Linked DNA regions of Caenorhabditis elegans. The protein of the gene in region 1 interacts with the protein of each later gene in a pairwise test. Each region holds a gene or a part of one and is shown on either strand. Other genes may lie near its edges.

Region 1 (7,335 bases):
ATCTCCTCGCAGCTTCTTCTTCTGCTGCTGCCGCTGCTGCTTCAGATGCTCCGGCCGGAGCTGTAAAGCTGGTGGCACCCCAAGACGAAGGAGCAGAGAGAGGGAGAGATGTGCTCTCCCTACATCGATTGTGCTCGAGACGACGTGTGCTCCCCGCGGCTTGGGGAGTGGCTGGCATGTGGGCACGCTTTTCTTTTGGGGGCCTCCATCTTGCTTTTATTACTACGAGCTTTGTCTGCAAAACGAGAAACCACAACAATTTGGTTTTCTCACGCGAGTGGAGCCTTTTTCGATTCTTCTTTCTATCATTTTTTATTTCTTCTCCCACCCCTTTCCTCTTTTTTTTTCTCTTTCCTATTCATTTTCGATTCAATAGACTCTTAGGGTCCCTTTGCTCAAGCGCAACCGCAACATTGATGATCTTTCACTCGTTTTCCGCTCTTTTTTGCCACAGCTCCCCATTTCTTTCAAGTTTCTGTGAAATAGTTACATATCCTTTCAGTTTACATCTTGATCAACATGGATCAGCAATGTTTCCTAATTAAAAAAAAAATGTTTCAGTTTGCTTATTTTTTAAACTCAAAAATATAATTCTTGATATTTTGTGTCGCTGTTCAACGATTTAACTTTGCTTAAAGTAATATCAAAAATGAGATAATCTTCATCGTCATAAATTTTTTGAAAAACCTTTGTCAGAGATTGAAAATGGGTCAGTGCCAATATCATTTTGGTCAGTGCCTGTATCATTTTTGTCATTGCCATTATCATTTGTTCAGCGCATTTATCATCTTGGTCAGTGAAAATTACCTAATTAAATTTATTGTTTTCCAAAATAGTAATGCATTCAAATTGAAAATAAAGTGGTGATATTTTCTTTAGTATTTTCAATTTCAAGAAGTATGTATGCACATGGAGACCCACCTGCCAAATAACGAGAAGTTGCTTGCAAATTTGATTTTTTTTTGGATTTTTAGCTAGGAATTCATATGATTATGATTGCTGTAATTTTTTCTTTGCGTTTTCTGTTGGTGATATTGTTTTTCAGTGTTTCCAAGTTCCATACTCCTTTTTTCATATAAAAATGTTTCAAAAACATAACCTAACAATTTAGACTCTAGTTTTTCAATGCAGATTTGATTTAATTTCAGTACTTTCAAACGAACATTATCGTGATTTATGTTTTTCGTTTCAAAATTTTCGTTCTTATTTCATTCGCCGCCAAAATCAGTAAAAGTATCTTTAGTCGCTTAAAAAAGTAAAAGTAAAAACAGATTCATCCACTTTAGCCGTCAGCTTGAAAGAAAAAAAAATGCTATCCTCTTTCCTTCGTCAACTCTTCGTCCGTATTTTCTTCGCCTCTATTTTCTATTCTGCCTCTCTCAGCTTTTTCGCTCCGAAGCTCCCTCGCCAAAGTGGGTGGAGCATAGGAACTGCAGAGGGGTCCCCCTTCTTTCTCCCCTATTGAATTACTCTGAGCTGCGAAGCGTAGCTCATGGTTGCCCAAAGTCAATTCTTTCTCTCTAGTCAAATGGAAGTTTTTTTTCTTTTTTTTTCTTTCATCTTGTTCGTCTTTTGAAAAATGTATAACTGAAACATAATATAAAAATTAATTAAAATTCGAAAAAACGTCCTTCCCAATCATTTTTCAGGCACTGACAATATTTGAATTTGCACTGACAATATTTGAAGTTGCACTGACAATATTTGAATTTGCACTGACAATATTTGAATTTGCACTGACAAAATTAGTTTTTGCACTGACCCATCAAGAAACAGTTTATTTCTTATATTTTCCGTTCTTTTTTCTAAACTATTTTTTTTTAATTTTAACCGTCCTAAAAGTTTTCCAGGTAAATGTCAAACAAGGAAAGAACAGAGCCTCAGTGGGTAACGCCGTCGTCAAATCAGGTATCACAGCAAGTGCGTGTTTCACTCACATTTTTCAAACTCCCCCCTCACACGTCTAGTCACAAAACCCCTCCCTATCTGATCTGAGCATAATCCAAAAAAAATACTGTTGGCATTAACCATCACTCACATCTATTCTATCCACGCTTTTTGAGCATGCTTCTGCTGTTGAGCAGAGTAACCGTTCTGTAACTCACAATGTTGTCGCTTTGTTATTGTCTTCTTTCACACGTGAATATTAACGATTTGGGAATTGGAAAAAAAGGAAAAGGAAGAGAAAGGACTCGCGACACCAACAACAAAGAATTATTCTGAATAAGGGCTGTGACGAGCAGGAAGTAGTGTAATTTTTAATTGGACGGTTTTAAGAAAAGTGTTATTTTATTCATAAGTTCTTTTTAGTTTGTTCGATAGTTGAATTTCATGAATTTTGCACTTTATAGATAATAGTGCATATCAGGGCTGTTTTTTGTTTAAAAAACAAGTACTCGTGTATTAAAGATGGAATACAGTCAGTGGGAAATTGCTTTAAATACACTTAAAATGGCCATTATAATATTAAAAAACTTCAGACATTTCTTTAGATTTAAAAATTTTTAAAATCAACTTTTTAGTAAATTTCCAGAAGAAAAGGACTTTTTGTGAAATTGAAGAGTTTCTGCGAGTTAAAACAAAATAATTGAACTGTAATTAGAATACACAACTTACATTAAACAAAAATCATTTTTCGGGCGATTTTCAAAATTATGATCGGTGTTTGAGTTTTTACCATTTTTTGACTGCACATAAAAAACCAAACAAATTTCTTCCAATTTTATCATTTACTGTTTAAAAAAATTTTCCCACTGACTAAACTCCACCATTAAACATGATGTGATTGTTTTTCTTTAAACTATGAAATCGATGTTTCTAAAACGTTACAGTACACAAATACCAAAAAGTTGTGCCACTATAGTTTTTTAACTGAAATTTTTTTTAACTTTGAGTTTTATGTTTTCAATACACTTCAGTATTTTCCAGAAAAAAACTTACTCAAGCTTAATTTGTCGATTTTAAAATTTTCCAAAAAAATGTAAAACGATTCTCATTAAGTCGACCAAATCAAAAATGGAATTGGATTAACAGATTGAAAAAGTATATTTCCTTATTAAAAGCTTAGTTATTTTTTGTTAATTTTTGAATTAATGATACAAAATTTGGCTTTTTTAAGAAATATTTTCACATTCCCAAAATAAAAATTTTAAATTGAGAAACTTCAATTTTCAAATTTTCATATTTATTAGTTGTTTTTTTTTCTGTTATGGGTGGGATTCTAATTTTGCTTCTCATTCATTTTCCTTGGCGTGCAATTTTTATTTAATTAGCCATATGTACTTTTATACACGCAACAACAAGCACTTTATCAAAGGGCACGTCAAAAGTTCTCGCAAATTCTCAATTTACTTCGCTTTACGCTCAGAATAATTATTTTTCCCTACGGAGAAAAAGAGTCGCCCTGGGAAAGAAAGGGTAAGTGGGGGAGGGGGGTACATTTTAAATGTGCTCTTTTCTCTCTATCTCAGGCCAAGTTGATTTATGTCTCGAGTCCCTTTTCCTTTTCTTGAATACCCGAAGATTCCAATACTTTTTGCATTCCATCAAAATTTGGAGTAAAATATGGAATCGATATGGAAAAATCTTGAATATTGATAATTAACTTTGCAGGATGTGCCACCTGATTACGAGACGATTGGCACAATCTTCGGTTATGCGTTACAAGCTCTTTCATGGATACTTATTATTGTCACGTTTCCATTTTCCATGTGTGTATGCTTAAAGGTTTGTTTTTTCTTCCAATTATCTAATGAAAAAGTTTTTAATTTTTCGGGGAAAAATTTAAAAGAAGTTGAGTGTTTTTAAAGGTGGATTTGGTGGGGGAAACGAAACCCATAAACGCCGTTATTTAAAAAATGGTCAATTTAAAAATAGTCAGCTTTTTAATTTTTTCCCCCAAAATGGTATTGATTTCATTTAACAATTTGACATCAACATTAATAAAACATTAAGATCACGTAAAATTGTGCTAAAAACGAAAATTTTCACGATTTTTCTAAACTTCACATACTCGAAAAAAAAACTATGATAATTAATTGGCAAAACAACTTTGTATAAAAAGTTAGTTGAAAATCAAACACAACTTTAAAAACGTTTCTTGTTTACTAAATTCAATCAAAAATAATTTTCTGTGTAAAAAACGTTTGTTTGAAGTTTCAAAGCGTAGATTGTAACTTTTTCGATTTTTACTGATTTAACAATATTCAATTTGATGGAAGAGTATGATGATCTGATTATTTTGTTTTCTTAAAAATTAAGATTAACAAATATAATTGTTTAAAAATTTTTCTGTCTCACAGTTTTCAATTTTGTTCAATTTTCCCAACAAAAAAAAATCAAATGGCTAATTAAACAGCGCCCACTTTTTTGGGTTCTTAGATTTTTGGGTTTTTGGTTGTTATTTTCTGATCTAATGTAACGTAATGTAATAATGTAATGTAATATAATATAACGAAATAACTGAAGAAAAAAAATAGAGCCATTAACTAAATACTCCAAAAATGTGGGCATTGCCTCGTTCAGAGCAAAATACCAATTAACAATAAAACTGACCAATATTCTAATTGCCCTGACCAAAACTTTAATTGCACTGACCACAAATCTAACTGGATTAACTGAAAGTTTGAATGCACTGGTCAAAAATATTTTTTGCGCAATGCAATATTCAAACTGCACTGATTTTCTGACCTGGGCTCACTTTTAAGTCAAACAGCGACATTAATCAATTTTCTTTAAGAAGTAGAAAACTTGGGGTTCAAAGTTATTTATTGATTGTTTTTATTCAAAAATCTATCAAATTTTCAAAACACAATCGATACCTTTTTTTGGAATATATTAACTCCAAAAGTTCCTAAAATGATACATTAATGATTTCCAGGTTATCAAAGAATACGAGCGAGTTGTAATCTTCCGTATCGGTCGTTTGGTGTTTGGAGGAGCTCGTGGTCCTGGAATGATCTTCATCATTCCCTGTATTGATACTTATCGAAAAATTGATCTTCGGTATGATTTGACTTAATGTCTCGAAGAAACGTTTATGATTATTATTATTCTCATTTAGTGTTGTCTCGTACGCAGTTCCACCGCAGGAAATCCTGTCAAAAGACTCTGTGACTGTATCCGTCGACGCCGTTGTCTACTTCCGTACCTCCGACCCGATTGCTTCCGTCAACAATGTTGACGATGCCATTTACTCCACCAAACTGCTAGCGCAAACTACGCTGAGAAACGCTTTGGGTATGAAAACTTTGACTGAAATGCTCACAGAACGTGAAGCCATTGCTCAACTTTGCGAGACCATTCTTGATGAAGGAACTGAACATTGGGGAGTTAAGGTGAGATTTTTTTTCCCAAAAGTATAATAAACTGATCACTCAATGCTCATATTTGGGGCTCCTTCGCCAAATAATACTAAAACTGAGAAGCTCAATAAAAACAATTTCGTAACCCAAACAAACACACCGATTAGCCTCCAGAGAGTTAGTAGTTATTTTGGGGATAAACAAGTATGTTTTGTTGGAGAAATACCCAGAAATCTCGACGAACGGGTAAATATGATGGGCAGTAGTTTTAAGGGGTGGAAGTTTGACAAAAAAAAAAGTTTTTGATAAAGTTTCTGGTTTCTAAAATAATTACAAGAATGAAATGTTTTGCTTTAAGTTTTAATTGCACTGACCAAAACTTCAATTCTACTGTCTAAAGTTCTATTTGCACTGACCAACACTCTTATTGCACTGACCATTATTCTAATTACACTGACCACAACTTCAATTGCACTGACAAAATTTTGAATGCACTGTTAAATTGAAAAATTTGCGTAAAACAATATTTTAACTGAACGGACTTTCTGCGATTTGCCAAACTAATTCACACTCAAAAACTTCTTCTTTCTTGAGAAAACATTTATTTTTTGTCGCAAAAAAATATAGAAAATCTATCATGTTACTTTTTTTTTCAAATCTAGTCAATTTCATGTCTGACAATTCAAAGCCATCAATCATTCCATTACAGGTAGAACGTGTGGAAGTGAAGGACATCCGTCTCCCCCAACAACTCACACGTGCCATGGCCGCCGAAGCCGAGGCCGCGCGTGAAGCTCGAGCCAAAGTTGTCGCCGCCGAGGGAGAGCAGAAGGCGTCACGGGCTCTCAAAGAAGCGGCCGATGTCATTCAAGCGAACCCAGTTGCTCTTCAGCTTCGTCACTTGCAAGCACTCAACAGCATTGCGTAAGTTGCCACACTTCTCGAATAAATTTAATTTCGGTGAGAAGAGAGATGCGTGCTCTTTTGGATTGAATTTCGAATTAGTCACCAACTTTGAATTGTACCAATTTTTGAAACTATGGAAAATCGTAGAGGAACCGAGCTATCGCTAATCCAATTTTTTTCAGAGCTGAGCACAATTCTACAATTGTTTTCCCCGTACCTGTGGAAATGTTTGGAGCATTTATGAAAAAAGACCAATAATCATATTTTCCTTTTTTTCTCTATAAATGCTGCACCTTTTGAAATTTGGATCCCAGATAGTGCATTATTAATAGATCAATCATTTGTATTAATTCAAAGTCTATATACATACAATTATCTTTCAAATAGCCTTTATCCTACCAATACTTTCCTAAACGTTCTCGATTTGCACAAAAAAAAACCAGCCAAACAAAACACAAAACTCTCTAATTTCCCCCAAATTCCGATTTGCAACTGTCATTCAACCCGATCATGTATTTTCTGAACTTTTTTTCAAAATTTACGAAACTCTAGTTCTTCTTATTTTTCATTTATATATTCATGAATAAATCAGTTATTTATTATGTGAAAGTATCAGAAAAAAATTAAATTTTCTGTGAAATGTTCAGGAAAATATATCATGGAATTTTTGAATACCACAAATGAGCGGTATCACAAAACTAACAAAAAAAAATAAATATAAAAATAAAAAAACCGTTTTTTTTTCTAGAACTGTATACTTCAAAGGTTTTTGAGTTTTTGAAGTGTTTTTCTGGCAACAATCTAAAAACTTTTTCATCCTTGGTTAAGAAACTTAAAGTATTAGTGCAAAGTATAGAAAATTACAAAAACATTTTCCGGAATGGCATTAAAATTTTGGCAGGAATTCAAACTTCTTTAAAAAATTGTGGTCATTAATTCAAAAATTTCAAAAAAAAAGTATGGGTAAGAATTCAAATTTTTCCGAGAAGTTAGGACAGGAATTTTTTTCTAAAAGTGATTTTTATTAATTTGAGATTGCCTGAAAAATATTGATCTTGACATTTATAACATTGGAAAATTGGGATTTCTAATTATCAAAAGCTACTTATAAGCAATATGCTGCTGT
Region 2 (6,752 bases), about 12 Mb from region 1:
GCACCATACTATTATCCAGCCACCACAAAAATACATAAGGTACTGAAATTAAAAAAAAAGAAATAAATGGAAGTATTCAAACACATTTCAAACCTTCACTATATCGCTCTGGTTATCTGATAAAACTGTTTCATAACATCTTTGTAAAAGGTTATCAGTGATATTAGTTGGTTCGGCAGTTGTTGTAGTGGTTGTTGTAGAGTTTGTGTCAGTAGAATTAGTGGAACTATTATTATTTGACATATTCGACCACACACCGAGCACAAAACAAGAAGAAATGAGTTGCGTAGGATGGTTGGTGTTTGCAAACTGTTTCCCCGGAAACTGGGATCGAATATTCCAATAGCTCTATTGTGACATCTTGTGATGTTTTTTTGAATAGCCTGGTTTTTGGATCTTCTAGTCTTTGCAGAGCAAGTGAGGTTTGTTTCGAAAATGACAGTGAAAAAAGTAAAGAATTCTAATAGATTTAAACATTCTTCAAAAACTTAATTAATTTACAACCTTCAAAATGTCTGTAAATTTTGTGACGGTTTTTATATAGTTTTTCAAAAAAATATATTTTGCCATTTTTCTTTTCTATTTAATTGTTTTTATTTGCAAAGCAAGTATGCTATTTTCCTCTACTATAAAATTACTGAGAAGTAGAATGAAAAATTGTTATTTTATTCATTTTCAAATAATATTAAATAATCCAAATCCACAATAAAATATGGCAAAGTTTGTGGGTTCCGTTTTCAAAACTTTGGTGAAAACTGAACATTGGCAGGTGGATGATGAAGACAAACTGGAAGAAATATGAATTACAGGGCGAGAAAGTTAATTTTTGTATCAAGTGAGTTTGGGGGGAAGGACAAAAATTATCTATATTACAAACGTGAATCCAGGTAATTTGAAAAGACATGATGCCATTTGAAAGAAACCACAGAAGGAAGGAGAAGTGGGAGGATGGGGGGAAAGGGAATAAAATTGGAGAAAAAAATTACAAAAGACTTTTGGGAGTTAATTTTAGAGGAAATTTAGGTATAATAATTTGAAAGTTATGAACATTCATAAAGACAACCGCGTCATTAAAGTTTTGATAAATTGATAATAGAAAATTTGGAAATTGGTAAATAGAATTTACAAAAAAAAAATTAGAAAACAATTGAATTAAATGTGAAATTGACAAAAAGCTCGAGGTGAAAATGACAATGGATCGATAAAGTTTTGAGCAACTTTTTGAAGTATTCAATTGAGAAATTTAAAAATTGATTCAATACAAAAGTTTAAAAGTTTTGGCACTCTTCTAAAACCCTCCAAAATTGTTTAGTTTTGGTTTTCAAGAGAATTATGATGAGGAGGAAAAGATAAGTGAATAGTTTCCATTGATCTGGATGTTTAAATGCAGTTGATGATTCGATATTTTCTAGCAACAGAAAATTGAGAATATCAGCTAAAGACGACTACACCCATTGACGACAATTCTATGATTTTCGAAAGTGAGATTTCATGATCAAAATTTGAGAACTGGTGTTAGAAGAAATTGAAAAAGCTACGAAGTTGGGGTGTGTCACACGTCGTGCATTTTTCCTTCTTTATTGTCACAGTAGTTGTTCCATAACGTTTTCGCAAGCTCGTAACAGGGTAGTTCTCCGGCGTGAGTTGCAACCATACGAAGTAGGAAAACACCATCCTGAAATGGGGTTTAATTTCGGTCAGTGTAAAAGTTATTTCTTTTTTTTTCACAATAGTGCAAATCTAATAAAATTAATTGGTGTTCAAGATACGTATAATTTGGTTGACATTATTGATAGTTATATCAAAAACTTATGAACCGGGAAAGTTCTAACTACTGTATATTATTTGTTTTACTAACTCACGGTGGTTTTAAATACGTCTTTAACAGGATTGCAGTTAAAATTTCTCTTGGAAATTTTAATTGCAGTTTTGTTTTTTTAAGAGTAAAACAACAACTAGCTCAAAAGTTAGCACTGCAGCTTTCATTAATTTTGCCCAGTCGTATTTCATTTAAAACCTATTGTATGACTTCGCGATAGAAGAAATACGGTATGTTTCTTTTCTATATTTCTGTAGTTTCACAGTCATTGAAATTTTTTTCAAAAAATCAATGAAAGCTGTCAATTCGTGAAGAAGGGTGCATATCTAATATGCGAAGTCTGTCATATTAAAAAATCTGCTTAGAAATCTCTAAAATTTCATTTGTTCTATCTTACTCTAAATTCCATGAGCTTTTTCCAATATTTAAAATTTTTGAACATGAAGTTCTTTTGTTTTTCGCCGCACTTCATTTTTTGTTTCGGTTTTTCCAAAGGTTAAATTACCTGTCTTAAAAAGTGAAATACAAAACGTCGTAGTGATTGCGAATCCACCATTTTATATCCCTCGATTCCAGTCAGATACTTTCCAACAAAGTTGAGCTGCCTGCAGTGAAAACATTACGTGAATGAGTCTTTCGTTCACTTTTTGAAAAGCTAATTGAGACAAATGGGTGCACATTTGTTTTTCGTCATGTTTAAAATGTTTTTAACATGATCAACATACCTGCTTGGCACCACTGAAATGTAGATCCAGTAGAAAAGCGAGCACAAAGTAGCACCGGCAAGAAGGAAGTACCAGAACCACAAGAACAGAAAGATCTTCTCGTTGAACATGTTAATCATAAGTACACATTGTACTGTATGTCGGTGCACGTTTCCCAGTACTTTTACTTCAAAGTCACATAACGTTACACGTGGAAAATGACCAGACTCCTCCCATTCTCGTCCGTTCATCAAGTCGTTGAGAACTTGCAGTCCGTACCATTTGCTACGGTTACCGAGAAACGTGTTCAGTAGAAAGATTTGGCCGACGATGTTCACGGTGTACAGAATTTTGACAGAGATATAGAGGAACGTGACAGCAGCACCGGAAGATCGTGTGCAAATAATCAAGTTGAGCAGTTTCAGACGATTTCCGGACATCTGTAAAATTAAAAATAATAAGATTAGAAGAAAAACCGAAAAAATCTGATGATAAACAAAAATTTTCAGAAATCGTTGTTTTTTTTTCAGTTTTGAAGGAGTTCTCCGAGAGGGGTGTGGAGCATCAAAAATTCAGATCTCAAAACTTAGGTTTACGGAGCTTCAATGCTTTGAATCAGATTATCTCTAGAATAGGTGTACCCCGATCATTGATAACTGGTAACTCTATTTTTTTTTTTGCGGAATGTTTTGCGGAATGTAGCTTGAATTGGTTAAAATTGAACTGTTAGTAATGCAAATCAGAAAAGTAAAAAACGTTTACATATATTCTTATTATTATTAATATTATTGGCTGTGATTATGCTTGAAGGTACACAGCAGGGCGACTCAAAGACGCTAGAATGTTTTGTGCGTATTGGGTACTCTTGTGTTTTACAGTTTTCATACCACTTGATGTTTCACGTGTAGCGCTTCTTCTACATTTGTTGCGATGGTTTGCAACGCTCTGTTCCTCGATTCCAAATCCAACAATCTGGAGTCACAAGCCATTTGAACCAGAGACTGCACATGAATTCCTGAAATTTGCCTATTTAGCTTATATATTAGAATTCCTGAATTTTATTTTTTTTTGCTCCCTAAAAAATTTTTAGTCCTAAACAACAACAAGCAAGAAGCTTTCAAAAAAAAAGAAAATTTATGTATACTCCCTCGAGGTGAGAGAAGGAGAGGAAAGCTTCGAAGCGCTTGAGGCGAAAAGTATCGACGAAGGCCCGCGCATTCATTCCGCGATATTTTTGTTGTTCTTCTTCTTCACGCCGTTCTTGACGCTTTTTCTTCGTTTTTTTCTTGAAAACAACAATTTTGTTTTTTGCTATTTGGTAGTAGGCTGATGCTTCGGACCTCACGTCACATATTTATGTGTCTTCCTGGATATATTTTTAGGTAATGCAAATTCGTTCAAATTGCAAAATGCATCCACTACACGTTTTATTATTTTAATACTTACAATACAAAAAGTAACTGGTAAAATTGGAGACTCTATTTTGCAATCGAAGTACCTACCTGATTGCCAGCTGAGCAGTCTCCATACAATAGTCGGCACATAGAAAAGAAGAGCTTCAAGAGCTAACACAAACGGAACCCATTGATAATACCTGAAAAATTGTTCGTTTTTTAATGAGACTCTTAGATTAACAGAGCCTAACCCGATTTGTCGATTTTCACGTTCTGCATAGTTATGTGGAATGTAGTCGTGTAAAGGGAGAAAGTAGGTGTTTTGAACCCAACAATAGTTTTCCGTGTACTGCTCCATGGGCTCGGTGAACGTCGCAGGTACCCAACATTGGATTGGAAAACCTAGAAAAGGTTTGTTGACAGTGAGAATATGATAGAAAATGTTTGGTCTTACCGACATACTGTTTAGCAGAGACGAGAATCGCGAACACTGAAAATTAAGAAATTATTGGAGAAAAATTCATTTATATGGGAGAACGGGAGATAGATAATATGAACTAGAGACGTGTTTTTTTATGGCTTCAAAATTGCCATAATTAATGTTGAATTTCTTTTTCAATGTCTATTTTATCAAATGATTTTTTGATTTCAAGCTCCTTCAAAACATTTATTTCAAACTTTTTCTATTTCAATACTTCCCAACGGTTCAGAAACACATGCTTGATTGGAAACATCTTTGATCAAAAATGTAACAAAATGAAAGGGAGAGCAAGTCCTTGGTCCTTGGTTAATGGGTACTAATTCATGAAGATTTATTTTCATTTTAAACCTTTTCGGTTCTCTTTCATGTGTTTTTTTGTAAACCAGTATGCTATGTTTCATCAAAAAGTTTGATACATTTTATTTAAGAAAAGAATACCTGTGATAATGGCTGTGGTGTAATAGTAGTTAAGCTTGTCAATAATGTCATCATCGACGTGAAACTGTATTGACTTCACAGCACTCGCGAAATAATACAATAGCATACTCATCCTAAGTCATGTCGTGACGGCGCCCGTAGCGCCTTTTCCGATCTGAAAAAAAAATTTGATGTAAGGATATGACGGGAAAACAAGAGATGAAAAATACGGGCAGAAATGGAGAATGGATGATGTTCTAGTAATTTTTGTTTGAAAACATGTCTTGTTCGGACATTGGAAGGGTGCGAAAAATGTGGAAAACAGGAGCTGGGGAGCCGGAGGTGGTGGAAAATAGAAGTGAACGACGGACGACAACGTCTGTTGATGGCAGCCAGGTCGTTCTAATTATGCATTGGAAAAAAAAAGAAAAAGCGTCGGGAACAAGGAATGGCGAAGGAAGGGAGAAACTTGAAGGAGAAAAAGGGGAATGGCGTTTTGCTGTTGGAGGATTTTTTTTTCAAATTTTGAAAAATTGAATGCGACTTTTAAATATTTTTAATAATTGAAAGGCTACCGTGAGAATTTTTGATTTTTACAAGAAAATGCAAAGCAAACGAAAACAAAACAACTAAGGCAAAGTTCGGGATTCTTATGATTTTTTTTCCCATTTTTTGAAACTAAAACTTTATATTTGTGAAACTGTCAAAAAAAAATTCAGTAAAACCTATCGTATTTTTTATCAAATTTAATGTTCGATTCAAACCTACCCATATATCGTGGCCTATTGTTCTGATTTGTGGTCATCTTAAACAAATTTTTTAATGAAAAGACGATAATTTGAAGAAAATATCATTTTTAATGTTTAAAATATGAAAAAAGTTAACATAAAAGCTCCAAAAGAATATTTATGCAGCAAATCAGAGAATCCCTAGTTAATAGCAATTAAAGTATACATTTTCTACATGCGTAATACAAATTTATCTATATTCCGAATGTTCTTTCAGAATCTAAAAATTATCTTGACAGAGTCTTTCACAGGAATCTATTACTGACATCCTGAATTCTAATTAAGAAGCTATTGTATGAACCTACATTTTAAAACGAAAAAGGAATGGAGCAAGAGCAAAAGTTCAGGTGGACTCAACTTGTAGTTCACACTAGAGTTGAACTCTGCCAGGACCAAAGAAGAGTGCATGAATTTCAAATCAGGAGACGGGAATTGGCGGCTTTGTTGCCGAAATCTCAAGGTTTTACAAAACTTACGAAAAGTGCCATCAGTGTTTCTAGGTTAAAAATTGTCCTGTCGCTAGTGGGATGATGTCAGTCAATCCAAAAACCAACTAGCGCGTTTCGCGATTATATATTTTTGAAAAAAGCTGTGTTCAGATGAAAAGGTACAAAAATTCTAAGAAAATCCAATGAAATCTACTGAAAATGGCCGAAAAAAAAAACAGTTCAATTCTCGTTAAATATCTTGATAATTCAATTCCGTATTTCAACCAAACTACTTTCACAAGAACATTGGAAACAATTAAAACCATAACTCAGTACAATGGGAAATATCTATGTGAGGCACCTTCTAATAGTAAAAAAATTTACTAGCCTGCTCGAGAAAATGCATACTAGAGAGACAGATAAAGAGAGAAGGAGGTCTCCTGGCTTACTCCACGTTTTCTTATTCCTCCTCTCGCTTTTCTTTCTTTTCTTTCGTCTTCCACGAATTTTGATGGCCAATTGAAGAAAACGAGAGAGGGAGCCGGGGACGTGGAGCGAGTGGACAGAGAGCAGTGGGAAAATGAAGACATAGACAGCCCCACATATATACCCGAAAACCACACGGAGTAAGAAAAAAGAAAAAAAAAGAAGAAGCATCACATTGGCACACTATTTTTCCTTCCTTTTCTCTCATTTTCCTTCTGAATTTCGCATCCAGTGA

What was found.
Region 2: the proteins of unc-1 (region 1) and unc-9 interact in a protein complementation assay, tested with the Caenorhabditis elegans proteins (one study listed by BioGRID).

The regions. Positions count from the first base shown.
Region 1 is NC_003284.9:1,056,963-1,064,297, reverse strand, and holds unc-1 (Band 7 domain-containing protein), read left to right. Parts: upstream 1-1,844; 5' UTR 1,845-1,854; coding exon 1,855-1,920; intron 1,921-3,612; coding exon 3,613-3,726; intron 3,727-4,879; coding exon 4,880-5,004; intron 5,005-5,062; coding exon 5,063-5,336; intron 5,337-6,012; coding exon 6,013-6,227; intron 6,228-6,391; coding exon 6,392-6,467; 3' UTR 6,468-6,811; downstream 6,812-7,335.
Region 2 is NC_003284.9:13,210,628-13,217,379, reverse strand, and holds unc-9 (Innexin unc-9), read right to left. Parts: upstream 4,991-6,752; 5' UTR 4,949-4,990; coding exon 4,837-4,948; intron 4,408-4,836; coding exon 4,372-4,407; intron 4,320-4,371; coding exon 4,169-4,319; intron 4,118-4,168; coding exon 4,026-4,117; intron 3,539-4,025; coding exon 3,411-3,538; intron 2,964-3,410; coding exon 2,545-2,963; intron 2,425-2,544; coding exon 2,325-2,424; intron 1,676-2,324; coding exon 1,553-1,675; 3' UTR 655-1,552; downstream 1-654. Other genes in the region: R12H7.4 (G_PROTEIN_RECEP_F2_4 domain-containing protein), read right to left, coding at 1-42, 94-243. UniProt on the Caenorhabditis elegans protein: Structural component of gap junctions. Plays a role in maintaining gap junction activity to promote locomotion.